Coturnix japonica: one gene and its partners. The protein of the gene in region 1 purifies or fractionates together with the protein of each later gene. This does not show direct contact. Links are inferred from orthologs where the notes say so. Each region holds a gene or a part of one and is shown in the gene's direction. Other genes may lie near its edges. The genes, in order: DNAJC7, MLF2, VPS13C, VPS13B, IFT122 and KIAA0100.

The links.
Region 2: the proteins of DNAJC7 (region 1) and MLF2 purify together in Homo sapiens (affinity purification with mass spectrometry; 3 studies listed by BioGRID and IntAct, with this or other methods). This does not show direct contact. The link is inferred for Coturnix japonica from reciprocal best matches to the Homo sapiens genes DNAJC7 and MLF2.
Region 3: the proteins of DNAJC7 (region 1) and VPS13C purify together in Homo sapiens (co-immunoprecipitation; 4 studies listed by BioGRID and IntAct, counting the BioPlex papers as one, with this or other methods). This does not show direct contact. The link is inferred for Coturnix japonica from reciprocal best matches to the Homo sapiens genes DNAJC7 and VPS13C.
Region 4: the proteins of DNAJC7 (region 1) and VPS13B purify together in Homo sapiens (co-immunoprecipitation; 3 studies listed by BioGRID and IntAct, counting the BioPlex papers as one, with this or other methods). This does not show direct contact. The link is inferred for Coturnix japonica from reciprocal best matches to the Homo sapiens genes DNAJC7 and VPS13B.
Region 5: the proteins of DNAJC7 (region 1) and IFT122 purify together in Homo sapiens (co-immunoprecipitation; 3 studies listed by BioGRID and IntAct, counting the BioPlex papers as one, with this or other methods). This does not show direct contact. The link is inferred for Coturnix japonica from reciprocal best matches to the Homo sapiens genes DNAJC7 and IFT122.
Region 6: the proteins of DNAJC7 (region 1) and KIAA0100 purify together in Homo sapiens (co-immunoprecipitation; 3 studies listed by BioGRID and IntAct, counting the BioPlex papers as one, with this or other methods). This does not show direct contact. The link is inferred for Coturnix japonica from reciprocal best matches to the Homo sapiens genes DNAJC7 and BLTP2.

The regions. Positions count from the first base shown.
Region 1 is NC_029542.1:4,375,500-4,380,158, reverse strand, and holds the start of DNAJC7 (dnaJ homolog subfamily C member 7), read left to right. Parts: upstream 1-1,508; coding exon 1,509-1,561; intron 1,562-4,659. Other genes in the region: NKIRAS2 (NF-kappa-B inhibitor-interacting Ras-like protein 2), read right to left, coding at 9-248, 660-901, 1,092-1,185. UniProt on the Homo sapiens protein: Acts as a co-chaperone regulating the molecular chaperones HSP70 and HSP90 in folding of steroid receptors, such as the glucocorticoid receptor and the progesterone receptor.
Region 2 is NC_029516.1:69,478,559-69,483,387, reverse strand, and holds the start of MLF2 (myeloid leukemia factor 2), read left to right. Parts: upstream 1-1,811; 5' UTR 1,812-1,966; intron 1,967-2,104; 5' UTR 2,105-2,130; coding exon 2,131-2,180; intron 2,181-3,673; coding exon 3,674-3,800; intron 3,801-3,882; coding exon 3,883-3,918; intron 3,919-4,829.
Region 3 is NC_029525.1:3,603,709-3,608,545, forward strand, and holds the start of VPS13C (vacuolar protein sorting-associated protein 13C), read left to right. Parts: upstream 1-1,630; 5' UTR 1,631-1,660; coding exon 1,661-1,760; intron 1,761-1,923; exon of another isoform or gene 1,924-2,015; intron 2,016-2,439; coding exon 2,440-2,483; intron 2,484-4,509; coding exon 4,510-4,552; intron 4,553-4,837. UniProt on the Homo sapiens protein: Mediates the transfer of lipids between membranes at organelle contact sites. Necessary for proper mitochondrial function and maintenance of mitochondrial transmembrane potential.
Region 4 is NC_029517.1:116,154,243-116,158,357, forward strand, and holds part of VPS13B (vacuolar protein sorting-associated protein 13B), read left to right. Parts: intron 1-127; coding exon 128-391; intron 392-545; coding exon 546-629; intron 630-787; coding exon 788-963; intron 964-1,480; coding exon 1,481-1,651; intron 1,652-3,064; coding exon 3,065-3,266; intron 3,267-3,978; coding exon 3,979-4,115. UniProt on the Homo sapiens protein: Mediates the transfer of lipids between membranes at organelle contact sites. Binds phosphatidylinositol 3-phosphate. Functions as a tethering factor in the slow endocytic recycling pathway, to assist traffic between early and recycling endosomes.
Region 5 is NC_029527.1:16,827,304-16,831,418, forward strand, and holds part of IFT122 (intraflagellar transport protein 122 homolog), read left to right. Parts: intron 1-978; coding exon 979-1,119; intron 1,120-2,097; coding exon 2,098-2,195; intron 2,196-3,089; coding exon 3,090-3,190; intron 3,191-4,115. UniProt on the Homo sapiens protein: As a component of the IFT complex A (IFT-A), a complex required for retrograde ciliary transport and entry into cilia of G protein-coupled receptors (GPCRs), it is required in ciliogenesis and ciliary protein trafficking.
Region 6 is NC_029534.1:4,551,606-4,556,189, reverse strand, and holds the start of KIAA0100 (protein KIAA0100 homolog), read left to right. Parts: upstream 1-1,532; 5' UTR 1,533-1,622; coding exon 1,623-1,711; intron 1,712-2,460; coding exon 2,461-2,590; intron 2,591-2,834; coding exon 2,835-2,881; intron 2,882-3,089; coding exon 3,090-3,252; intron 3,253-3,329; coding exon 3,330-3,448; intron 3,449-3,546; coding exon 3,547-3,607; intron 3,608-3,824; coding exon 3,825-4,005; intron 4,006-4,136; coding exon 4,137-4,260; intron 4,261-4,584. UniProt on the Homo sapiens protein: Tube-forming lipid transport protein which binds to phosphatidylinositols and affects phosphatidylinositol-4,5-bisphosphate (PtdIns-4,5-P2) distribution.

The DNA.
Region 1 (4,659 bases):
AATGAGGCTCAGCCATCCACAGACCCGCTGCCCTTGTTCTTGCGGCTCAGGGGAAAAGCAGACTTGCTTTGTGGCTGCGTCATCTTACTGGCCAGGTAGATGAAGGGCTCGATCAAGGTACGGCGGTCAGCAACAGACACCTCCCACAGCTTCACCTTCTCGCCCTTGGCCCAGTGCTGGGCTGCGTCGTGGTCCACCCGGCGCTGCTCCTGCAGGTCACATTTATTGCCCAACACCACAATAGTGACCTGTTAAAATACAGGGGAGAAGAAACCCCTGTTGGTTCAGCGCCAGGTCCTGCCCCACACAGAATCCCCCCTTTCCTTTCCTAGTGCATCCTTTGGGCAGTTTCACCCTCCTGTTTGGGTTTGATTCAAACCAGCCCCAAAACAGAAGGGCCCATTGAGCAGCTGCACGTGTAGCACTGCAGGACCCTGCAGGAAAAGCCCCACTGTGCAACTGAGCTCTCAGTTAATGCCAATAAGACCAACAGCCCCCGAGGAGCAGCCAAAGGAGCCACGGAATCACAGGGCAAACAGCCGCCCACAGCAGCAGCCCATTACAGCTCAGAGCCCCTCGGAGCAGCACCCCATGTCTGTAGGGAGGCTCCGCGGGTGGGTCCCAAGGCCCAGCAGCTCCCCCCGCCCCGCAGCGCTCACCTCCTTCTTGTCTTTGCACTTGTCGATCTCCTTCTTGAGGAGCTCCACCCGCTTGAAGGACTCCTTGCTGTCGGTGCTGTACACCAGCACGTAGCCGTCGGTGCAGGAGAAGCAATGCTTGGGCAGCTCCAGGCCGTCCCGCAGCCCACGCGTGTCGTAGAAACGCACCTGCTCGCGAACGCCGCGATCGGTCTCGATGGAGCCCACGTAAATGTCCTCCTGGGTCTCGATCATCTCGGAGCCTGCGGGGCGGGCGGGGGGGTCACGGGGGGACATGGGGGTCACGGGGGGATATGGGGGTCCTGGGGGGGATATGGGGGTCTATGGGGGGATATGGGGGTATGGGGGGATATGGGGGTCGTGGGGGGGATATAAGGGTCTATGGGGGGATATGGGGGTCCCGGGGGGCTGTGGGGTCCCCCCGGCACGCACCGACCACGTGGTTGCCGTAGAGCAGCTGCTCCAGGATGGCGGTTTTGCCCACGGCGGCCTGTCCGCACACCACCACTTTGCAGCTCTTCCCCATCGCCGCTCCGGGACCGAACCGCGGGATCCGCGCAGGGAACGGCACCGGGGCGGCACCGCGTGGGGATCCGTCACGGGACGGGGACGGTCGGGGGGATCGGGGGGAGATCGGGGATCACGGATCGGGGATCACGGATCGTGGATCACGGACCGGCTCCGCCCGGTATCGCCGTGTCCCGCAGCGCCCCCCAGCGGCCGCACGCGGTATCGCAGCTCCCCGCGGTCCCGCCCCGCTCCCGGCAGCCGGGCTCCCCGGAACCGCCCTTCCGGCGCCCCGCCCCCCGCCCGGCGTAATATGCTCGGCGCAGCGGAGTGCGATGTGACATGGCGGCGCCCGACGCGAACACACGGCGAGACGCAAAGGACGAGGACCGGAGGTAACGGGGGGGGCGGGGCTGGGCTCGTGGGGCCTCACCGGGCCGCGCCGTCTGCCTGCTCTGCCCTGCTGCTTTGCTTTGCCCTGCTCTGCTCTCGGGGCGGGCTCGGGGTCACGGCACGGATCGAGCTCCGGGGTCGCTCCGTTGGACGAGAAGCTCCGGGTCCGGGTCGCTCCGTGTTTCCTCCCCGCCCGGCGCCGCGTTACCTGCAGCGCTGACACGAGGCGGCCCGTAACGCGGCGCTGTGCTGGGAGCGGGGCTGGATGGGGGAGAAGCCGGTGTGAGGCTGTAACTGTGCGTGAGGAGCCCCCGGTAACTCACGGCTCCTGGTAACAGCGCTATTGCTGAGCTCGGCTTCACCCCGCGCAGGGCAGCACCCCGCAGTGTGCGCTTCCCTATGGGCCGGGTGCTGTCAGCACAGGGGATGCGATGGGGAAGGGCCGACACCCGGACGGCGGTGTGAGCAGCACCGGGTTTGTTACCCCCGAGGAGCTGCGAGCACAGAGCTGGGGCTGGAGGATTTGAGGCTGCTCCCGCAGCTCGTTGGTTGGTGGAATCAGCAGCAGAAACGAAACTAGAAGCGTCCTGTGAGCAGTGCGATGTTCAGAGCAAAGCCGTGGCCTGGGGAGCTGCAATGGACCGACAGCAATGGATGGATGGCTCCGGGACCCAGAGCTTCCTGGTGATGTCATGAGGAGCAGGAGGAAATGCAGGAGGCATCGTGTGTGCTGTGTGTGTGCTGTGTGTGCTGTGTGTGTGTGTGGAGCTGGGGAATCCTGCTGCTGTGATTCATCCCCTCGGGCTGGTTAAAGATGACGACGGAAATGTTAAAAATACCCGAATGGAAGAGCTGTGCCGGAGGCGCATCGTCCCGTGGTGTCCTCTGACATTGGTTCCCCTTCCTTCCTCCTCCTGGGTCCTGCTGGGTGCAGGGAGCTGCCCTGTGCTGGGGGTTGGCTCCCCGTCCTGCTCTGAGGGGCAGAGCCTGCCTGGGTCACCACGTGCTGGCACTGCAGCCTGTGGGCATTGCCGTGTAGCCCTGTGGTTTTATGGGTGATTTCACACTGTTCTGTTGCTGGGATTCAAAGTGTGTGAGCTGGATGTGATGCTCTGTGTGCACCGGAGGAACAAGGCAGGGTCCTGGGGACGGCAGCTCTGCGTCCTCAGGGCTTACGTTGGTTGCTCAAGTTCTATCTGTCAACTGAGCTGATGTAAATGAGGCTGATAGTCACCAAACGAGGGAGGATGGCTGGAGGCTTAATTAGGTGCTTAATGTTTGTAAAACATCACCAACCACGCAGGGGCTCTGCAGGCACTCAGCATTAATTGCACGGGCGTTCTCTGGAATCTGATTGAACGCAGCCGGGCCAGATTCTGTTAGAAAGCAGCAAAAATGAATGAAAAAGCTTCACTGAAGCGCTGTAAGTCAGCCCCGAGCTCCCTGTGCTCTGTGCCTCTCTTCAGGAATTGCAGCATGACGAGGCACAGGTGGGTGAGGGTTAGTCCTGGAGCAAAGGGACTAAATGTGCAGTTCTGTTCTATGTGGCTTAATAAAAATACAAGTGGTAACGGTGGGGCTGAGGATTCCTGAACAGCTGTAAACATGCCGAGCTGCTCACTCACCGGCGGCTGCAGGGACAGGAATAAAGTGCGGTCATAGGATAATTATGGGCTGTGGCAGCTTAAATTGTGAGGGTCCTGACGGAGGAGGGTTGATGTAAGTGCATTAATTTTATCTGCTGGGTGATGGAGCTGCAGCTCCTGCTGGGTGGGGGCTGCACTGCAGGCAGAGAGAGGTTCATCCCCAAAAGTTGCTTCCTTTTCTTCCCCCCCACAAATGGTGAAGGTTTCTGACCCCTGGGGTCCATCCCTTGGCCCAGCTGACCCAGGAGCGTGGTGCTGCTGGGTCCATTCCTTTGCTGTTTGGGTTCTGTCGCTGTGCTCTGCTCAGGGCCGGATCCTTCTCCCCTTCCTTCAATTGCTGGAGGATGCAGCAGCTTCATCTGGGAGGTATCTCAAATCACGTGGAAAATATTGTGAACTGATCTGGACAGAGCGTTGTTTTCATGGTGCTTTTGCTGCAGAATTCAGGTGTGTTGGTGCCTCTGCAGGAAATGGTCGTTAACTTCAATAAAACGATGAGTGTGAAATTTGCCACACAAAGTAAATTGTGCAGAAATCAAAGAGGAGGTTCCAGCCCTGGCCTTAATTCGGGTCACAATGAGTCCGACAGATGTTGCCCGCAGGCTGTCAGCTGTGGGTCATCAGGAAGGCTCCTTCTGCTGCTGCTGTACATGAAATCAGCTGCACCTCAATCAGGCTGCTCCAATGATGATAAATGTCCTGGGCTGCCCCTGCAGGTTGTGCTGCCAGGCCCTGCCCTCGGTTGGCTGGGGGGGCTTTGCTGGTGGGTACGGGCTGATCCAGGATTCTTGCTCTGCTTCTCGCTGGGCGCTGGAGTTTCCCAGGCTGTGGATCCAGCCTGTTTTGTGAACGTGTAATTATCAGCTTAGGGTAATATGAGGAATGGCAGGAGCTCCTCACGTTGATGTTTAATCTCCCATACATTTGTGGAGCATTTGAATGCTCTGAATGAGATAATTTCTGTATACAGCATGAAAAAGACGATTGGAACTTGGTGTTGAAGCCTGCCTTGAACTCCAGACCATCTTTTTTAGGGTGAATCACGTGAGTGTCGTTGTCTTACCATGCAGCTGGGCTGTTTCCTGCATCCAGGCCTCCATGGCAGCCAGTGCTCCGGGTGGTCCTGGGCCTTCTGTGGGCTCTCACACGCACTGAGGCTCAGCCCTGCCATCAGCAGTGCTGCTGTTGGTATGAAGTGGGTTGACAGTGAGCTCTGCTAGCAAGGTGCATTACATAACCGTCTAATTAACGTTCAGGGCTCATCTGGCTGTTTACACTGAGTGCTGCGGGGGGCATTGGCTCCTTTCTGTGCTCCTGCTCTGCTGTGGCTTTTGGCCTTCCATGGCTGAGTTTGTCCTCAGGTATTGGGAGTGTTCTAAATGTCTGTGGATTTGCTTTTGATCACTCCCCCAAAAGACTCGGGGTCCCAAAGCAGCCCCTTCACTTGGTGAGTC
Region 2 (4,829 bases), on another chromosome or scaffold:
GGGGGAGGGGGCGCTGTAAGAAGAGGGGAGGGCACGTGGGGATACGGGCGCGGCGCGACGACGGCGATGCCGCCATCCGCACGGCGCGGTGATGGCGGGTATCGGGAGCCGTGCAACAGCGCCACCTGCCGGGCAGTGTGGGTAACGCTGTGCTGAGAGCAGAGAGAGGGAATTTCTGGAGCTGAGCTCAAAAACAGGAGGAAAAAAGAAGTTGGTGGATGTTGTCATGGTGTGCTGCTCCTTGGTAGAGATGTGTGACTCACTGCTGTGCTGTGCTGTGCACCAATCCAGCATTTCTGGCTTTATCTTTCCTCAACTGCTGCGCACGCAAAGCTGCTCCATCACATGCTGTACCATAGACCTATCCGTGCTAATACACCAGCAGGCCTCAACGCGAGGTCCTTGAGGAGAAAAAGCAAAGACTATATTTGGTGATGATACTGTTGCCCAAAGAGTCGTGTTGACACAGGCAACGCCCTCAGATGCAAATACACAAGCGGCTGTTTATGAGAGGAAAGTATGTTTCCAACCACCTGTGAAAGGGGCCATTGGGTTCGGTCTGTGACCTCTTCCTTCCCCCTGTGGGTGCTCCAGTTCTCAGGGCTCACAGTATCACAGAATGACCCGGGTTGGAAGGGACTTCAAGGATCATGTAGTTCCAACCCCCCTGCCTGGCAGGGCCACCAAACATACACCTTTACTAGATCAGGCTGCCCAGGGCCCCGTCCAACCTGGTCTTGAACACCTCCAAGGACGGGGCATCCACAACCTCCCTGGGCAGCCTGTTCCAGGGCTCAGTCTTGCTTCTTCCTATTCACACTGTATCCTCGTTGCAGCTTCTACTCCGATCAGTAGATTGTGAACTTTGGCCGCATACCTGTATCCTTCTGTTTTAAACATAGCGTTTATTTACCCACGCCACGTGATATTCAGTTTGCTTTGAAAACGCTGTGGTTGCCCCTTTGGCTGAGTGCGCAGCTAACAGCGCTGGGGACGTTAGGGGGAGGGATGCTGAATGGCAGCGAGTCAGCAGCAGAAGGTGGAGCTCAGGGCAGTGGCATCACTCCTCGCTTCCATTTTGCCCTTGGCTCAGCCTCTCCTCTTCCCCCATTCTCCTCTGCCTGGACTGCTTTAAAAAAGGAAGGGAGGCAGTGTGGGTAATGGCTTTGATTTATGACAGATTCTGCGTTTCTAACAAGGGGGAGCTTGTCTGTGTTGCTGGGGCTTCAGCCACCAGTGAGCCAGATTTGCTTAACTGGTAACATTGCTGGTAACATAGGTTACATAGGTTACATAGGTTACATATAGGTTACAGTGTGCACTCCTGCTCTGTGTTGGGGAGGCAGTAATGCCTGATGCTGTGTATGGAAGCAGCTTTAGGAGCCCTGCCATGTCTGGGGGTGGGATGGCTGCTGGGATCCGTGGAAAGCAGGTCATTTTATCGCAGCCTTGCTCCCAGTCCCATAAATAACGCTTCCATTCTTGCTCTCTCCCTGCCCGTCTGCACACACCCAATGCACCACGTGCCCGCCCAGGGTTGAACACGCCGAGCAGGAAACGCTTTTCCATGCTGGAACAGTCAGACGTGTGACTGAGGCTCACGGAGGGGGGCAGTGATGCCTTGGTGGTGTTGGCAGCGGCTCCGGGTGAGTGTCGGTGCCCACGGGTGCGCTGTGAGCTGGCGGCCCGCTGCCATAGAGCAGCATAGCGGCGCTCGGGCCGCACTGACCGCCAGGGGGCGCTGTGCCCCGACACGGGCCCGAGCGCCGCTTCCTGCCCGGCGAGAGCGCACCGACACACGGCGCTGTGCGCGCATGCGCGGGGCGAGCCGGCTGGAGCGGAAGGGGTGAGCGGGCTGCGAGCCGCCATGGGAGCACGGGAGTGAGCGGCCCGTGTGTGCATCCTTCTGCTCTTCGTCTTCTTCCTGCCGTCTGCCCCTCGGCACCGCACGGAGAAGGGGCACAAGGTGGGGGCGAGCCTGGGGCCGGGGGGGGTGGTAGTGGTGGTGGTGGGGAGGTGAGGTGCGGGTCTGGGGGCGGCCGCCTTTGCGACGTGCGGCCTGCTCAGCGCTTCAACCTCCATCCCTCCATCCCTCCCTCCTTAGAGCCCGCCCCCGGCCAGGGCAGCAGCATGTTCCGGTTGATGAGGGACGGCGAGCCCGAGGATCCCATGTTCGCTATGTGAGTCGGCTCGAGGGGCCGGGGCGCTGCGGCACGGCCTGCACGGAGGGGAGGGGGGTCATGGGGGGATGGGAGCGGCCTGTTTCGTGCCAGCCGAACCACTGTGGCTTTGAGGACACATTGAATAAAGTAGGCCAAATACACTGTGAGTGTGTGAGGAAAGCAGCGCTGGAGCGCCCGACCTTTTGTATGTTTGGTGGCCCTGTGTATGTTTGGTGGCCCTGCCAGGCAGGGGGGTTGGAACTACATGATCCTTGAGGTCCCTTCCAACCTGGGTCATTCTGTGATTCTGTGTGATTCTGTGACCTTTAGCTGTGCTTAAGGATTGCTGCGTATAACGAGTAAGGTTTGATAACATCATCTGTGCCTGTTCGTTTCTACCCCGCCGAAGAATTCATTAGTGGAGCTGGAGGAGGCTGCTGAGGGAGCTGTCACGTTGTGAGGGACTAAATGAGGAGAATTCTAGGCGTTTTAAAACACAAGCCTGAAAACCTGATGTGGGTCCCAATGATGCTTTGCTTTGGGGTTCCTCTTACTGGTTGCTTTTATTTCTATCCCCTGCTCAGAAATGGGTTGCAACTGATGAGAGGTGGCGGTTGTTGCCAAAGCAGTTAAGGACAAGAGTGTTATATGGTAGGAGTTTGTATGAAGTGTGGCACTGCTATACATTAGTTACAATTAATATATGTAGGAAAACAAAGCCCTGCTCTTGCTTATAAAGTTGATTATAAGAATGTTATCAACCATAAACCAATGAGTAGGAGAGGAGACCTGGAAGTCTCAGTCACAGAGTGAGTGTACAGTTCTCACTGATGTGGCAGCTATGAGTCTCGCTTTTATTATGCAAAGTATTCCCAGCAGAAACAGGAAAGTATTGGGTTGTGCTCGGTGCTTTTGTGATCTCAGGAAATTACGTGCTGCTCAGGTTGTTTGTGCTCTGGAGGGATGAATGCAGAACTACCAGATGTGCAGAGAAATGCTGTGATGCTTCTCAGGCTCTTTAGCGTGGCTGCTGTTATTTGGGACTGTCCCTGTTCTACTTTTTCCCTCCTTGCTTCTCCAGCGTGTACAAGTATGTCCTTAAAGCAGAGGCTGCTAATGCAAAGAGTTTTGATGGCTCAAGAGGAAATGAGTATGAGATGATGGTAGCGCTTGGACTGCAGATCTTTTACCTTGTAGAGCAGTGAGGTTTTGGAGCTTGGCTCAAAAGTATTAGTGGGAACAGAGCATGGAGCTGGTGCTGAATAGACATTAGTTAGTGTGTAAGAGAGGTTCTGTGGCATAATACTTTCAGTCACAAGAGAAGAAATGGGATCCAGCCCTAAGGATTAGCATACGCAACACTGTGTGTGTTCTTGAGCTTCTGGATTTTCAGCTTAGAAAATACAGTCACAGTTGCATAAGAGAAACTCCGAGTCAGAATGTGTGTATTATACAGGACTCAGTGTTCTGTCATCCTTTTCTCACCACTGTTCTCTCAATCTTTCCCAAAGGGACCCTTTTGCTATCCACCGGCAGCACATGAACCGCATGCTTTCTGGAAGCTTTGGCTTTGGCCCGTTGCTTGGTATCACTGATGGGACCACGCCTGGGGCTCGCCAGGCTGGCCGTAGGATGCAGGTAAGAGAGGGGCTCTGAGGAGTATCTGGTGTTTGGCTGTTGCAAGATCATCGTTTATTCTGTTTTTCTGTTGTCTCAACAGGCGGGAGCTGTTTCACCCTTTGGGATGCTGGGCATGGTAAGTCCTCTGTTTTTCAGTGTCAAGTTTGAAGATAACTGGTTCCTCCTGCACTGCTATTCCTGAGTTGTATGGTTTTAGACCTTCCACTTCTCCTCATACTTCAGTGTAGTCTGTGGAGCTGTTTTAGAGGAGTCCATTTATACGGGCACCTTGAACAGAGGAGATCCATAAAGCTGTTACAGCATGGTATTTCATAGGAATTGAGATAGGTGATATCTAGGAAGAACGGAGGGTCTCTTAACCTCATGTGTCTAAGAAGAAGCTGTGGATCTGTTTGGAGATTGTTGTGAAACTGTGATGACACATGGAAAAGACTCGGCCGTCATTAGGCAGAGGCGGTAATTGAACTTCCTTTGAAAATGGTTGCAGAATGAAAAGCTAAAAGAGTAATTCAAGAGAACAGAATTGGAGTGAGAATTGCTGGATGTGTGGGAAAATGTTGTTCCTGGAGCTTGTTGATCTCAGTTATCTATTGTAGTAATACAGGGGAAATAAGTTATTCCAGATCCAGCAGCTTTAGGTGCCTTGCTCTGCGGGATTGACTCAATGAAGCATCCTGGAATCATTCTAGTTCAGAAAAGGATTAATAATACAAACAGTTGGACTTCAAAGGGTAATAACATTGCGTGTGAGTTCTGGTCTGCTCTAAACGAGAACAAGAAGCCACTTGAAGAAGGGAAAAAGGAATCAGTGCCTTTAAACTGACACAGTAATTTTGTTTACATATTGCACAATTAATCTGTCAGACCTGCTGGCTGAGTACACTAACTGCAGCCTTTAGCTCTGCCAGATTAAAAACAGTCACGTTTTTAACGTCTGCTTTCCCTATAGGGAGAGTAAGAAAAGTTTGCAGACAGGCTGTTGTAATTCTTTTCTCCCATATCCATCCAAATTGACTCTTCCTGTGC
Region 3 (4,837 bases), on another chromosome or scaffold:
GCAAAAGCCCTTTAAAATTTTATTGTAGTAATCACAAATGAAAGTTTGTTACCAATCAAAATGGCAGCAGAATCTCAGCACACAATTTCCTGCCTTGTTTTCTTGCACTGATGTTTCCCAAGGATACAAATACCTTTGAGCAGACAGCGCTGCATGGAAGGAGTAAAGAAATAAATCATTGGCACCTTCTGCAGTTTCTAGAAGTTATATAATTAGAAATTTTTCTTCCTGTCTGAAGCAAAACAGAGCTTAAAAGAAGAATGTGGTACTTGAATGCCATCCTCTAATGAAAAATCTCATCTGTTATAGTAATCATGTCACACATCATGCGTTTAGTTTGAAGGTCCTTGGAATCACCTCTGGGTTAACATGGGGGGAATTCTTTGAAAGAACAAAAATGGCACTAATGACTCAACATAAAACCAACTTAACCACATACAGGCATAAACCAGCCTTGCAAAAGGCCCAGAATGCAGCATGCACAGATGATTTTGATCAATACAATGACTATTAATTAAGCATCTGACAGTTCTCGTCCAAGAACTGCCACAGTACGTGCAAGGGAAAAAGCATCCAATGTGCTCTTGGTGCTCACCAGTAGGTGCCTACAGAAAGGTACACAAGGGTGACACTTCCCACTGATGAACCTTTCCACAATTTCCATGAATCCTCAGCATTGTGCCGTACAACTTCCCCCACCCAATCACATGGATCATTGTGTTTAACAACCACCGCAGATCCGAACTTTGCTCTTAGTGATGTAATGTTCTGCCTCACGCTTTAAACATCGAAAAATGCTTGTGTTAAAGTGAGGCACACATATTCCTAGCAACGTACAGACGTGGCACGCACCAAATAAGGAATCTTCTTGTCTTGTCGCCTGCTCTGGGCTGGCTGTGTGCGTTATTGAACAGGTTGATTTAACAGATCTATACATACAGGGGTGACCTCATGTTCGTGCCTCCCGCACAAGGGAGATAACCGCACACAGCCCTTCCCATTCAGCTCCGCTACAGCAGAGGGAGCCTGCAGGCCTCGGACGCGGCTCTATCAGCACCGAGGGGTAACAGCTGCTAATAGACCTTTATCGGCTCACAAAAATTCGCTCCTTCAGCGGTGTTCTCTTAACACACCCTCGCACTCGGCTCCACAATGTTTTTTATCCGCATTTTGAAGCGTTTGCCTGCCTCCCTCACCGACCGTCCCCGTTGTTGTCTTATTTTCATGCATTTTTCAGGCCTGAGTATTGCCAGTACTCATTTCCCCTCTCTCGTTCTCCTTTTCTGCCAGTTTTCACGTCACTTGGGCGGCCGGATGAACACCAATGTTTTTCTGTGCATCATAAGAACTCTCAGCAGGCACCCTCGCCCTTCAGAGCGCTGCTTCCCCGCCTCGGGGCCGCGGCTCGGGGCTGCTCCTCTCCCCACCCGCAGCCCCCCAACACCTGCTCCGCAGCCATGCCGACACCCACCCCGTCCCCTCAGCTCCGTGTGGCGCTGAGCTGCTCCGCCCCGTCACCTGACCGCGGGAACGCTCCAGCCGCTGCCTCGCGCCGCTCCCGGCCCCCCCTCCCTTGTTCCCTCCCCTCCGCGCTGCTCCCGGTGCGCCGCGGGCGGAGTACGGTGGGCCGCGGGAGGCGTGAGGTGGGCCCGCCTCCGCCATGGTGCTCGAGTCGCTGGTGGCGGACGTCCTGAACCGCTTCCTCGGCGACTACGTGGAGAACCTGAACAAATCCCAGCTCAAGCTGGGTATATGGGGGGGTAAGGAGCCCGTTCCGCCCCGGCTCTGTGGCGCAGCGGGGCCGCCGCCGCCACCGGGGGAGGGCGCTTCCTCGCGGGGAGCGGGTCTGGCTGGCCCCGTATTAGCCGAGCTGCCGGCGGCCCCTTGAGGAGCGGGCGGGCGGCCTGTAGCCGCGGAGCGTACCTCCGCCTCACTGCCCCGCGAAGGGCGGTCGCTGTGAGGGCCGCGTTGCTCCCGGAGGGGCGGTCGGTCGCCTTGAGACCGCGGACCACCCCCCGGGGGCGGTCGGTCGGAGCGGGGCCGCGTTCTCCCCCGTGAGGGGCGGCGGTGGGCGATGGGGCCGCGGCTTCCCGCGCTGGTGGCGCCTCCCGGCGGCGGGCGGTGTCCATGAGGGGGCTGGGGCGGCTGCGCTGCTCGTGTGGGGGCTGTCAGTGCCACAGGGGATGAAGCTTTTCTCCTTAGTTTGATCGCGCTGCTGCCACGCGGTGAATGATTCATACCTATGTTACAAACAACATAGCCCGAGGAGCTCTGCTATTGAAGCACTCGGGTGGTACATGTGCAGTTTTCCTCATGTATGACTCGGTGTGCCTGTGCTCCCCAGTGTTATACCTTATATTTGCAAAGCTGTGGTTGTTTTCCTTGTTCCAGCGTGTTTTGCATAGGTGTGACATCAATGAACTTTTTTCTTCCACATAGGTAATGTCGCGCTTGACAACTTAAAAATAAAGGAGAATGCACTAGTAAGTATTCCACTAATGCTCAAGCTGTATCAGTGGGTCTGAGGGCAAAGCCCTGGGCTGCTTACTGTATGTAGTCTCACTTCACAGTGTGTGCCTTCTTTGCTTGTTACTGAAAGTCGTACTTCGTTAATGGCTTCTAACATTGCTAATAATATAATACATAATAATAAAAATTGGAACAAAGGGGAAAAAAAAGTCCACAGGTTAGATCATAAATATGTGCGCAAGAAAAGTACATCTGAGAAATTACCACTAGTGTTTTCAAATATGTTTCTGATGTTTTCTGCGTATCAGTCTGCCTGAGGGTTGGAAGGCCCTACAGAGGGATCTGGACAGGCTGGATTGATGGGTTAAAGCCAATGGGATGAAGTTCAACAAGACCAAATGCAGGGTCCTATGTTTCAGTTACACCAATGCCATGTGTGGCTGCAGGCTCAGGGTGGAGTGACTGGAAAGCTGTGTGGGGGAAAAGGATTTGGGGGTACTGGTTGACAGCTGAACATGAGCCAGTGATGTGCCCAGGTGGACAAGGCCAATGGCATTCTGGCTTGTATCAGAAATAATGCAGCCAGCAGGACTGGGAGGTAATTGTCCCTCTGTACTTGGCAGTGGTGAGGTTGTGTCTCAAGCATTGTGTTCAGTTTTTGGGTCCATCACTACAAGAAAGACATGGAGGTCCTGGAGTGTGTCCGGAGAAGGGCAACAAAGCTGTGAAGGCTCTGGAGCACAGGCCTTACCACCTGTCCTAATGATTTGAAGCTCGAAATAGTAAATGTTTGTACATTTCTCTTACTGCTTTAGTCTTCCAGTACAAGCTAAATAACTGAATTTCTTCTTCTGCTGCATAATCATACTTCCATAAGGTCATAGTTTAGTCTTCCATAGGGCTTATCACTTGTATGTCCAAGCAATAGATGGTTGTATGTTTCAGAACAGCTTACTAGAAACAACTGGTATGCACAGGTCTGTGTATTTTTTTACTGCATGTGTTGAATGAATGGATTTTCAAAGCCCGAATCTTGCAGATTGTTATAGCTGAAGTCCTGTGAGAGACTGTGATGCTGTGTTTTGATGTGGGTAAGAAGGGAGAAAAAGTTCCATCTGTTGATGAAGTAAAGGCTTATGTTTATGGCTATGTAAATTGATTTTCAGTTAAAACTGTGGAGGGTGACATGTTTGAGATGTATGCAGTCTGAATGTAGCTTGTACATTCTGATTAACCATGTAATATGGTTATTTAAATGTTCCTGTTAATGTAGGAGTAACAGTGAGTGAAAAAACAAGAAAGAGTTTCCAATAAGTAACCAGATTCTTGTCTGAAAAGTTCTTAGTTGGTTATTGTGTCCTGAGCTAAGGAATAGGAATTAGGAATACAACAAACTTCAGTGTGCTTCACATTGCACTCAGGAAGATGATGGAAAACGTGCTAAATTTTTGCTTGACATCACCATTTTTTCTTTGTTGCTCTGAAATTTCATGTCTTACCTGCTTCTTTTGCCCATCGTTGATAACTCTAAGGTGGTACCAACTAGAAATTGGAATTTTACTGTAAGAATAGATAAATTATTACATCTTAATTTTTACTTTTATTTTTTCCTTCTTGCTTTTATTCTTCTTCCTGTTTATCTCGTCTCTCTTTTAACCAGTGGTTAAATTCCTTTTTTTTTGCAATACGCTGTGTAGATGAGATCCTTCATGAGGTTTTAATTTATATTCTTGTATGTGGATGAAACCTTAGTTCTTGGGTAACTTTTGTTGCAAAGCATTATCATAGGTGTATTAAAGAGCTGCTAGAAATGTGTAACTCCTTTTGGCTTCCTGGAAGCCTGACTGTATTTATGGATTCCCACATTCACATGAGCGTTGCTGATTATTTACACTTATGTCATACAGAGAACTGCATCTGTTCTGGAACTTCAATTTTGTGTTTACAGTTTTAAGAGAAGTCAGGATAATAATTCTGCTGTCCGAACCAAGTTACCTCCACAATACACGAATCTGTTTAATATTTATTTTTCTTTTACAGAGTGAACTGGAAGTTCCTTTCAGAGTCAAAGTTGGCCATATAGGTAAGGTTGTTTTGTTTTGTTTCAACCTAAATCTTAAAATGGAATTTTGGAGTACAAGCCTTTGTCTTGCCTTTGAATTTCTTTTATCAAGATTTCTTAGGTGGTCTCTGTAATAATACTTGCTGTTGAAGCTGGTGTAGATGTTGAATGTGACTGTGCCACATAAGTGATAAAAAGTTCCCCGGGTAACCCTGTTTGTGACACATTATAGGCTGTGTGGAAAATGTATCGAGTTGTTTCACGGGTAAATGGATGATCAAGGGAGCTGCAACTAGAAATAGGATG
Region 4 (4,115 bases), on another chromosome or scaffold:
AAATGTAACAGAATGAAAATGCTAAAATAGAGATTGTTTCTGTACACGTTTTCTATCTGTAATTCAATCCTGACCTTTCTTAATTTCAATTGTTTATACACGGGCTGAATATTTTTGTGTGTTTTAGATCCTAATCTGTGGAAGACAGACAGTCTGTAGTTACCTTTCGGAAAGTATCGAACTGAAGGTGGTTCAGCATTACATTAGTCAGGATGGACAGGCAGTGGTTAAAGAGCACATCAACTGCCTCGCAGCCAAGCAAAAGCTGCCTTCATTTGTCCTAGAAGACAACGAGCTCACCGAACTGAGTGTGAAGGCCGTGGGAGATGAAGACTGGTCCCAAGATGTATGTCTGAGTTCTAACCATACAGAACACAGCACTGTCATTCAGGTAAGTCTGGAATTAAATGCTTGAGATATAAGTTTGAAAATGTCTGTGAGAACTGAGAACTTTAAATGTAAAGTTCTGTTTGATATGATGAAATGTTCATTATCATCAGCTTAGAATAATTTTAATAGAATGTTGTCGATCTATCTGCATACAGGTGCCATCCTCAAAGAGTTTGATTACATACGTGTGGTGCACCATTCTGACCTTAGAGCCCAGCTCTCATGTGCAGCAGCGAATAGTAAGTAATGCTTCTATAGCCTAAGTGTTGACAATTTATCTGTCATTAATTAAGGGCAGAATGACCCACTGAAAAGACTTATTAATAGCTTGTTTCAACAGATGTCATTCTGAAATAAAATGAGAATAAAAGTGTTGTGGTTTTTTTTTCATTTGTAGATTGTTTTCAGCCCTCTTTTCATTGTAAGGAGCCATCTTCCAGACCCAATTATCATACATTTAGAGAAAAGGAGTCTAGGATTGAATGAAACACAAGTGGTTCCAGGGAAAGGACAGGAGAAAGCACTGCAAAATATAGAACCTGATCTTATACATCACCTGACATTTCAAGCCAGGTAAAATATTCACTTTCCTTGAAAATGATTCATTTGTATTGAAAAGAAGAAATGATTTACACTTTAACTTCTAGTGCAGTGTTTCAAAGAGTACAGAGTATGCGAAGGAGATACAAGAGAACAAGTGTGTGTTACCTGGAGTGATAGGATAGGAAATAATACATTTAGTATCACTGAACTGAATGTGATGTCATTTGTTTGCTTAAACTGTCCACATTTTTGTGTATTAGTAAACAAAAGAAAACAAAAACCATCTTGAATTCTCTTGGACTATTGATTGAGAATACTCTTCAGTTCCTGGGGTCTCAGACACAAATGTTATTAAAGTGTCGTAACAAATTCATGCATATCTGTATATGCTCGGTAACTTGGTGGACATCATTGTTTAATTCATCCACAATTACTTTGAGAGTGTTTCTCTTGCAGAACCCACTTGTTAAGATTCATTATAGAAAATGTTAGTGCTATTAATACTTGAGCTTGTTCCGTGAATGACCAGATCTGTATTCAATGACAGGGAGGAAGATGATCCGTCAGAGTGCGCAGTCCCTATCTCAACTACGCTTATTAAACATATAGCAACTAAATCCCACCCAGGTGGCAACGTCAACCAGATCCTGTCCGAGTTTTATGGCACTGCTAATCCTCGTCAGCCTGCATGGCCATATAACAAGAAGGATTCAGACAGGTAGTTTTTTGCTAAATGTACTTCGTGGTCATTACGTTGACTTTTCATATAGAGGTCTTTTACAAGATAAAATTGTTAATTGGAATAAAGCATCTAGGAAGCTAACTAAAATTTTTACATCCATATCATTAAATACAAAGGTATCGCTTACTACTAAATAACTACCTAATTCACAGGTTGTTGGAGGCCAGGAAAATGTACTGGCAGTACATTGGTATCTGCCAGATGTCTTTTCAGGGTTTTGTAGACGTCTGTTACTAACCAGTATAAGAGTCAGAATACTAGCCTGGGGATCTTTGATCTTATCTAAGTAGGCTATTATCTTCATCTCTTTTTACTATATAACTTTGTTAATGATATTTAAATCAATTGACCTAACAGTGGAACTCAGTAAGTGTTTTGAGTCTTGACCAAGAATAGACTCCATAGAGCTCAACTACTTAATCAAAATAAGGATCACCAAGACCCTCAGTGAACTTTGTACGCACATTAATAGATCGAGCTGTGTCCTGTCAAAGTTAAGTCAGCTGTGAAAATATCATAGCTTGTCCTGGATTCCTCGTTAATTTAAAATAATCTCAGTGATCTAAAATGTGATGTGTATGATCTGGTCTAGCCATGTATTGCACAGTTAGTGAAAGCTTGTACATTTTGCTTTTTACTCTCTAGTGTAAGTTTCTTAAAAGTTCAAGCTTACTGTATCTTATCCTTCATTAGATTATTCTGAATGCATTTTTAGGCAACAGAATTTTCTGAACTAGCTATAGAATGTATCAGTTTTGAAAAGTTATTATTGTGCTTCCAGCACCCCATCCAAAAGATGCCCCCTGAAATGCTATTTAAATGTAACATTTTCTTTGTTATCAAGAGCTTTGCATGGTGCTTGTTTGCTTAGTCAGCCCTATGAAATCAACTTTAAGAGTCTGTTTTCAGTAATTACAGAATTCCTATTTGTAAGCTGCAGAAGTGGTTGCAGGCAGGAAAAACTTTCAGTAAGCACAGGGGCTGCCCTTGATTACATTGAAAAGCTGTAGAGGTTATTTATTTGGCATCTGTGTTTCAGCTCAGAAATGGCAGAAAAAGAGTTGAGGGGAAAATAAATAAAGATTTTGATTTTATGTCTGCAGAAGTCACAGGTTTAGCCTTAGAGAATAGCAGTAATTCTGTTTCTAGGGCATTCAATTAATTGACAAAACTTAAGTTGAGGTTATGCCGCTACAAATATGTCTTTATCGCCTGCAAGAGGCTCACTCTAGCAGCATAACAGTATGTTCCAGAATGATTAGGTAAGAGGAGACTCTTCCTCTATTTCAAAAAGGTAAGGTTTTGAAAATGAAATGAAAATAAGCACATATCTTAAAGTCATTCTTTGTTCCTTTGGCTTCATTGTTTTGTTTGTTTGTTTCCAAACAGCAGTGAACAGCTCTCCCAATGGGACAGCCCAATGCGGGTAAAGCTGTCAGTGTGGAAACCATGTGTTAAAACTCTGCTGATAGAACTCCTGCCATGGGCCTTGCTTATCAATCAGTCCAAGTGGGACCTCTGGCTGTTTGAAGGAGAGAAGATAGTGCTTCAGGTGCCTACCGGGAAAGTAATGATTCCCCCCAACTTCGAGGTAACTGCCATTTGAGTCAGGAGACATAGTTCTCCATGTACCAGCCTAAGTAAATTACTCCAAAGCAAAAGTAAAGACTTTGGGCACTGCTCTGCAGGCCTAACTGCATCCTGTATTATTAGCTCGGGGGGGATGTTGACCATGGTAGCACAGCTGGCAGCCTTTAGGGAACATTTCATCAATGGGTGGTGTTTCATAGCTCATGTAGTACCAAGAGAGGTTTGATAACAAGGCAGAGTGAATGACAAATGAGAACAATTATTCAGAACATCTTCCTTCCTGAATATAGGGCTTTATGTAGTGGATCTTCTCACATCTTAGCTCTGTCATTCAAGTGTTTTGGTTTTTTTTACTACAGTCCTAATATTGTTTATTTTTGAAAGAATTAAGATAATTCGACAGACCAATTTGTCAGTTCCAGAAGGACAATTTGATACTTCCTGCATATTTTGCCATCCTTCTTTCCCCATAAATGTCTGTTCAGAAACAAAAGGCCTGGTGATTAACACATCTCAGTGTAGCCTAGAGTCTTGATTTCACTGGGTGGGTCAGTCTCATATCCGCCATGTGGTTTCATCTATCCTTGTGCCACTTAGAGAGAATTGGAAAAAGGCAGGGAATGACACTGGCTGCATACTGGAAACAATGTTTAAGTGTAAAAGAAATGCATGGAATTATCAACAAGTGATAGCTGGTCTTTTTTCACCTACAGGAGGCTTTTCAGGTTGGAATATACTGGGCAAACACTAATACTGTGCACAAATCAGTGGCAATCAAACTGGTTCATGACGTGACCTCCCCAAAATGGAAGGATGCTGAGAACGGGGAAGTGGTAAACTTGGATGAAGA
Region 5 (4,115 bases), on another chromosome or scaffold:
TATAAACTGTGCCAGGGATAAGGAGAAGTTGAAGCAAGATCTGTGTGGAGCCGGCATGTTTTCAGTAGCTGCTTTACTCAGGTGCAGCTCCATGTGACTTCTGCATCTGCTGTTTCCACAGCCAGCTGGGATCTAAAAGTGTAACCGCATTTGCTTACAAGGCCAAGCTAGCGCTATGCCAGCCGTGAGCTGTCTCTATGCAGCACTAGGCTGCACATCTTGGCACTAAACCTTTGAGCAGCTGAGTGGTTTGCACATACAGATCTGTGAATATATGTGTGTTGTTCCTAGCTTATTCCTCAAAGCTCCGTGCTGTTCTGTCTTGGCTAATACAAATTCCACAAAACTGGGTGAGCAGGAGATCTCTGTGTGGGTCTGGGAGAATGTGGTTTTAATGGAGTTGATTTAAATCAGGAGGCAATTGTTATCTTTATTGCACTTTATTTCATTCCTTTATTGTGTTTATGCCAAGTGAGAAGTCAGAATCTAACTTTACACTGGCTTCTGAAGTTCACTGAAAGAGAAGCTGTTAATGAGTGCTACAAGGATATAATAAATAATATAATCTTCTAAAACATTCAACATTACTGACTAGAACTAATTTGAACTTACTGTAGTTTTAAATGCAGGTGCAATCTGCAGTGTTTAGAGATTGCAATTGCTTGAAAACAGATCTAATGATTGTTGTGCTTTTGCTCTTTCCTATATTAAAGAACAACAAAAACACCGGAGGTGTACAAGACATAGCAGCTCAAGAGCCCCCAAGACAGTGCAAAAGCCACAAAACACCTACAGCTGCATCTCATGTTCCATTAGTGTTGCTGCTTTCAAGTAGAAAATACCAGTGTATAATCCCTTCATACTGCCCTGGATAGATGATTTGATATTGTCTGAATAGACTGCTCTTAATTTAAAAACATTAATTTCAGCTAATTGATATAATTGCCCTGTAAAATCCTCTTTGTTTTGTCTTTGTAGCATTCCACAAGGCTGGCAGGCAGAGAGAAGCTGTGAGAGTGCTGGAGCAGCTAACACACAATGCTGTGGTTGAAAGCCGATTTAACGACGCAGCCTATTATTATTGGATGCTTTCCATGCAGTGTTTAGATATAGCCCAAGGTAAGTAACTGAAAGGCTTATATTTTTACCTTCTTGTGCATGTAGGCAGACAATTGCTAAACTGTGATAGCATTGCTGCAGCTCCTTCACTATTTTTTTTCTTTTATACTGTGCATAGTTTTGGCATACGCTATTTTTGTCTACTGGTTTTCCCATGCTCTTATGTAAAACAGATGAGCAAAACAACAACAGCAGTGTGCGTAGGCCTTGTTTTGAAATCTGGCTGGAATCAAAATAGTGCATCCTTGGGAGCCTGTGTCCTTGTGTAGCTTCCCTCAACACGCTGCAGGTAGAGCAGTGACTGAGGGGTCCACGTACTGGTATCTGCAAGGTGGTTCTGGAGCATAAGATCTGCTTAGTACTTGAATGTAGGTAGGGGAGGTACTTTACAAATTGTTTCTGCCAACAAATACAAAACTGTGAGCTATCATCTTGTCTTCTGAGTGTATTTCTCTGGAAGAGAGGTAGAGCTAGTGCTTAGGAGAACTAATTTGCCAATGAATACCAGGGTTGATAGTACTGTGTTTTGCTCAGTGCTTTAAGTGCCTTTTTATTAGTTCACCTGAGAGTGCTGATATGTTGCCTCTGAGGTATTGTGTGGAGATGCAAACTGTTCCAGTTTTTTTAGTAGTGTGTTTAATATCCATGAAATGTTTCAAAACTCATTTTATTTGTAAATTCTGAAGGTATGAATGAGCTTTACAGAGATGCACAGCTGCTCTTTTCTCCCTTTACCTAACCTGTAGCCTCTAGCTATATTAAAGCCATTACCACTCATATTTGAGCATGCTTTTTTTTGAAGTAGAAACTTGCTCCCAGAAGTAGCAAGACTGTATAACCTGTGTTTTGCACAGGTAGATGGGGGACACTTGGGCTGGTGTGTACTTCATTTGGGAGTATCACTGTATGTTGTTTTCTTCACACTGAGTCTCAAAGGTTTACCTGGGGGGGCTTACACTAATGCCTTTCTCTCCGCAGAGAATGAAGAACAGCAGACTGAAATGTTGCAGAAGTTTCATCACTTCCAGCAATTGGCAGAAATCTACCATGTCTATCACTATATTCAAAGATACACTGTAAGATATTTACTTTAGAAGTTGTGTGTGTATTCCTGAATGTTTTTCTTTCAGAAGTCCAGAGATAAAGAAACATTTAATGACTTCACACAATTAAATAGAGTGTAGATTAGTGATACTGTATAGCAACATTTCTCTGCTTTCTGTTGTACTGCAGAAGAACTTCTCTTGTCGTAGTTCTTAAAAAGTGCCGTGCCATTTTAGCAGATGTGTGTTTGTCTCACTGTGTACATAGAGAATATGAGCATGGCTGACTCTCCACCCCCAGTACTTTCTTTGCTGGCTGTGTTGATTGGTTCCAGCACCCCGGATCTCAGGTCCTTTACAGGTTGCAGTGGGTTCTTCCTTTAATTGGGGAAAGCAGGTTTATACAGAAGACACCCTCATTCAGAGATTCCCACAGCATGTTACCTCTTATCAGTGGTGATATATGTAAACTTCTCCAAAAGATGTGCAGTCTTGAGAGGAGAGCTCCTGCTGCTCCCAGCAATTATAGTAATGTTCCTACAACTGTTGGTGAAAATATCTTCTGTGGAACATATGAGAAGCCTCTAATCTATGCCCTTGCCCAAAAGACGACTCTGTGCAACCAAGGTCTCTGCTAGTCAGGCTATGTCAGACCTTTCAGTGGTGGAGGCTGCCCACTGTTCATGCCTTGCTTTTATATAGCCTGGTAAGGATTCTATTTTAGCTGTGTGGATCCCTTTCTGTCTTTTTCTGTGTGTAACAGGCATGAACTTTGGTGTTTAACATGTGAAATCCGCTTGGTGTGTTCTGTCAGCATCTGCTCTTTTAGCAACTGCATGAACTGCATGACAATACTTGGGATGCCTGGTATTGTGATGTGTAGTGATGTGAATTGTCTTAGAAATGTCTCTATTTTTAATTCCACAGGAGGAACCTTTCAGTTTCCACTTGCCTGAAACACTCTTCAATATTTCCAGGTTTCTGCTTCACAGCTTAACAAAGGAGACTCCCTTGGGGATCTCAAAAGTGTATCCTTCCAACACTGCACAGAATCTAGAGGCTGAGGTACACTAAAAGAGTAATTGATGTTGAGCCACAGTGCAGAGATCTACTTTGGGTTATGTTCAGTTTCAGCTGTGGGTTGTAGCTAATTGAATTCGATTTATGCCCCTAGGGAAATAATCAGCACCTTCAAACCATTGTTTTTAACTGCACTGTCTTCTTTTTTTTTTTCCTTATCGTCTTGGAGAGCTGAACAAATCAACATGTAATTCTCAGCCACCCACCCAGCATGATGTGTGACTTTGTCAAGGAGTATTAGTCATCCCAACAGGATGCTGGATCTGAATCTTGACAACCTTGAGCTCAGATGGGAGCAGGGGGAAAAAACAGCCACTTTTGCTCCATCTGAGGCTGTTATAGCTGTGCAGTGTCTCTCAACCTACCATTTGCACAACTTTGTGAGTGCATGTTGCATCTTTTGGAAGTAGAATCATAGAATCCTTAGAGTTGGAAAGGATTTCTGAAGGCCATCTAGTTCAACCCCCCCTGCAGTGAATGAGGAAATCCACAGCTAGATCAGGTTACCTCATACAAGGCCTGTGCGAACGCTGCAGAAATGCATCTGTCCATAAAAGACAACAGAAAGGGTCACTGACTGACAAAGGGAAGGCAGTTTTTCTTCCGTTACGGCTCTGGATGGGATGTTTGCTTTCCTATTAGTAACTTCCTCACTTACATATACTTCCAAAATGTCTTTCCTAACGTGTGTTGTTAGGGTTGTGATTGGTAGCGTTCAGAACAGCAGTTACTGTTACATGCTAATGAAAGAGACAGCCCTTGGTCACTGACATGGAGCTGGTGCTGCATTCTTCTTACTAGGCAGTGTGTGCTTAACGGGTGTCAGTGCACTGATGGTGTTCCAGTAACGTTTTTGGTTTTGTTGCTGTTATT
Region 6 (4,584 bases), on another chromosome or scaffold:
CACATACTCTGCCTCCCCCATGTCATATCATCCCCCACACAAGGTCAGCATCCTCTGGAAGCCCTGTAGCACCTTTGGGTGCTCTGCATTAATGAGGTTACTGAGGAATCAGCACTCAAAACTTGCAGCCTGTAAATCTGAGCCCATAGAACTGTCCCTTCTCTGTCCCTCTGCTCATACAAAGACCCAAGCCCTAAAACTGAGCTTTTTTTTTCCCCTCCAGGAGGTGAGCGCCTTTGGAGAGAATGGTGAAGGTGACTACCTGGATGACTGGACAGTGCTGTGCAGTGGGACATACTGGGCACGGGACAGCGAGGTGCGCTTCCAACACGCCTCCACCGACGTCTTCCTCTCGGTGACAGGAGAGCAGTACGGGCGGCCTATCAATGGGCAAAGGGAGGTGCACGGCATGGCCACCTCCAGCCAGAATAACTACTGGAAGGTGATGGAAGGAATCTTCATGCAGCCCGGAGAGGTCTTCAAAGCGGAGCAGCACCACGTTGAGTTGTGACAGATGGACTGATGCGTTCGGGGCTGCTCAGTGTGGGGATGGCCCCCGTCTACACGCGGTTGTGATGTGCACTGGGAAATGGAGCCCAACATCCTGAATTCAACACAAAGCTGGTCCTGGTGTGCTGAATTTGACATGACATAGAACTTAGTGTTTGGGGTCTAAGGCAAAGCAGATCTCAACATCCCAAATCCAACACAAAGCTGATCCCAACATCCCACATCCAACATGAAGCTGATCCCAACATCCCACATCCAACACAAATATGATCCCAACATCTCACATCCAACATAAAGCTGATCCCAACATCCCAAATCCAACATAAAGCTGATCCCAGAATTTTAATTCCAACACCAAAGCTGATTCCAATGTCCTAAATTTGACACTAAACAGATTTCACCCTCCCAGATCCAGCACAAGGTCAACCCCAAAGCCTAGTTCAGACTAGAAGCAGAGTTCAGTGCCACAAATCCAACAGGAGTCAGATCACAGAGCCTCAGATCCAAGCACCCCAAATGCAACTCAAAGCAGATCCCAGCATCCTAAATCCAACACAAAGCAGATCCCAGCATCCCAAATCCAATTCAAAGGAGATCCCAGCATCCTAAATGCAATGCAAAGGAGATCCCAGCATCCCAAATCCAATGCAAAGGAGATCCCAGCATCCCAAATCCAATGCAAAGCAGTTCCCAGCATCCCAAATCACATCCCAAAGTCCCATTTGGACCCAGATCCCAGAACCCCAAATAAATCACATCCCAAAGATCAGCCTGGACACACAGCAGCTCCCTGCTCCCCAGAGCGGCACCCACACTCTCCATCTATAACCTACATTTATTTATTATTCATCTCCATCTCCCCTGGGCCGGATGGGGGGGGTCTCCTCGTGTATCCGATCCCCCTCCCCTCTATACGGGTTATGGATACGGGTTAGGGCTGCTCGTTCCCATTACCCCGCAGAGCGGTGCAGTTCCACCCCGAGCCTTTAGGGGGCGCTATCGCCATAACTCCGTGTTGATCCCGCCCCTCCGCTTCCAACCGTCACTCCAGGCCCGGCAGGCGGCTCTGCCCCCGCTGAGCGGACGGCGGCGGCCGGGCCCTGGGGGCCGCCATGCTGCTGCCTCCGGGTCTGCCCCTACCGCTGCCCGCCGTTCTGCTCGGCCTCGGGCTCGTCTTGCTGCTCGCCGGGCTGTTGGCGCGGTCAGGGCCTGGGGGCGGGCCGCTGGGACCGGGGGAGGGGCGAGGAAGGAGGTGGTGGGAGTGTGGGGGGGCGAGTGTGAGGAGGGGTTGGGGGGCGTAAAGATGGGGGGGTAGTAGGCCTGGGTGGTGTAGGGTGTAGAGTGGGGTGTAAGTGGCAGTGAGGGGGTGTAGAGGGGATATAGGTGCGGGTATGTTGCATGGAGTGCTCTGTATAGGGTGTGGGTGGGGATGAATGTGGGGTGGCAGGGGTGTATGGGGGCCCATAGGGGTCTCTGAAGGCCCACAGAGCTGGCTGGGGTAGTGTCAGGCTGAAGGAGATTGCAGGGAGTTGGGGTGGGGGCTGTCAGGGCTTATAGGGATCAAGGGATCTTGCAAAGATGCGTGTGGGGTGATGGGGAAGTCAAAATGGAGCTTTGAGGCTATGGGGGGTGTTAGGGCTTTGGGCTGCTCCCATAGTTCAGGGATACTGTGGAGCTTGGAGGGAAATATCAAAGGTGGAAGGTGTTGTGTGAGGGGGATACAGCCAGATATGGGGGTTTTGTGGTTTTGCGGTGATCCCATCCAGGTCTGGGGGGATCTTATGGGGCTGGATGTGGAGAGAAAGGTGGGGTTGGAGCACAGGGCTTGGTGTGGAGGCTGAGGGACCCACAGATGTGAGAGTCTCTAGGGCAGTGCAGGTGGTTGGAAGGGAGAAGGTGTGTGGCTCAGGACAGCAGAGGATGACCCTGTCCCTTTGCATGTGCCCACAGGTGGCTGGCGTGTCACCTGGCCATCACCTGGTGCCGGCAGAAGCTGCAGGCGGAGCTGAAGATCGGCTCCTTTGGCTTCTTCTGGGCACAGAACATCAGCCTCAAGTTCCAGCAGGAGCAGCAGACAGTGGTGGGTACCTGTGGAGGAGTCACAACTGGGTGAGGGTGGGATGGACGCCGTCCTTTTCAGGCTGGCAGCGAGTCTCTGCAGCCAAGCTGCTGTCACACAGCCCCAGGGCTGCAGCCCTTTCTCCCTTGGCCAAATACAGGGGTTTTTGAGTGCTCCCCACATGACGCAGGGCAACAGGAGTGGAATGAAAGCATCGGGGAGAGCACTGTTATTTTTTCACTCACCAGCTTTTATGTTCTTGCAGGAAATTGACAACATCTGGATCTCCAGTAAACTGAGCCGGGAGCTCCCGTATGTATCCACGTCCCAACTGCTTCTCTGCTTTCCTGGGGGGTCTGGCTCGCCCCTGGTCCTGCCGACTGCCTCTGCACCTTTCTATGGTGCTCATTTCCCATGCTCTGCGGGAGTGAATCATTCCCCTTTTGGTGTCTCATGGAGGCACCCCTGGGGCTGGATGTGTGGGCTCTTGTAAAGGTTGCGTGTGCTTGTTCTCCTGCAGACGCTACTTTGAGCTGTGTTTTGGTGAGGTCCGAGTCCGCACAGATCTGCAGAAGAGCCATGGGCTCCAGCCATCCTTCCCTGAGGCTCCCAAAGAAGCTGATGATGGCAAGAACAGAGCAGACATGGCCCTTAAACCATCCCTGCTGCGGCTTCTTAGCCAGGTGAGCTCTGGCTCCATGAGAGGGTGTTGCAGGCTGTGCTGCTCTTGCGTAGCCCTCACCATACCACCTTCCACCAGCTCTTTTCCATCCACATGGACTCCATCAACATCATGGTTCTACATGTGGCCACCTCAGAGTCTCTCTGGCACGTTCAAGCCAGCAAGACCCGTCTTCTCTTCAATGGTGATGGGAAGAGGTAATGCTGTATTCATGCCCTGTATCCCACCAAAAAGGGGGGGAAGGGGCTTGGTTTTGCAGGGCCTGCAGCTTCAGTCTGCTCTCTGCTCTCCCCAGCCTGAACTGTGAGGTGAACCTGACAAAGGTCAACAGCAAAGTGCTCCGGAGCAGCCAGCTGGTGAGTACTGGGGAAGGGAGAAATTCAGTGCGCTGGGGCTGGGCAGCAGCTCTCTGGGACACCCCAGGACCTGTTCCAGTGTTTTGTTGAGGCTGGGTGATGCTGAATGCCCTGCAAGGCTCTCAGCTGCATGCTCTGCCCAGTGCATTACCTGCAGCCTCCGTCAGCAGGGAACTGGGTGATTCCTGGTGTGCTCCTTGCCCATATCCCTATATAGGATGACACGTGTCTGGCAGAGCTGGCCCTGGCACTCTGCATCTCACTGGAGATCAGCAGCAAGCGGCGGCTGGTGGGCGTCAAGCTGAGTGTCCGGACCCTGCAGGCAGAGCTGCACGAGGGGCTTTTCTGCAGCCCGTTGTTGCACCGTGTGACAGCCAGAGCCTCTCAGCCCAGCCCAGGTCAGGGATGTGAACAAGGCTGGCAGTTCCACTGCAGCCAGAGGGATTTGGTTTTGCTATCATTGCTGCCAAATGCAAGGAGTGGGAGTCTGGGCAAGAGCCTTCCTGTGACTCTGTGTTTCCTGCTCTAGATTCAGGAGAGTCCCTGAAATCCCCATCCCTGCTGAGCAGGGACACACTGCAGCTCATCCCCAGGAGGGTAGAGGTGAAGCTGGAGAGCACCAGCGTGGTGCTGTCTATGAACAGCCAGAAGAGGTAAGGAGGCCAGATGGAAGAGGTGGTTGTACTAGCCATAGTCACTGCAGGGGACATGGTCCTGGGAATAGCTGTGCCACTTCCTGCTTGTCCCTTGCTCTGCCTGACTGCAGAGAGAAAATCCCAGGGGGAAGAATGTGAGTAGCCTGGGGCTGTGGGCTCTTGGGGAAGAAGTTAGGCAGGGAATCTGGTTCTCTGGCACGACAGCATGATGGGATCCTCTGCTGGTGTAATGGGTGTGCTGGGCTGGGCTGCAGGTGCATTCTGGGCTGTACTTTGTCCATGACAGCATGCTAGTCGGCTGGGATGGGAGATGTAGGAGAT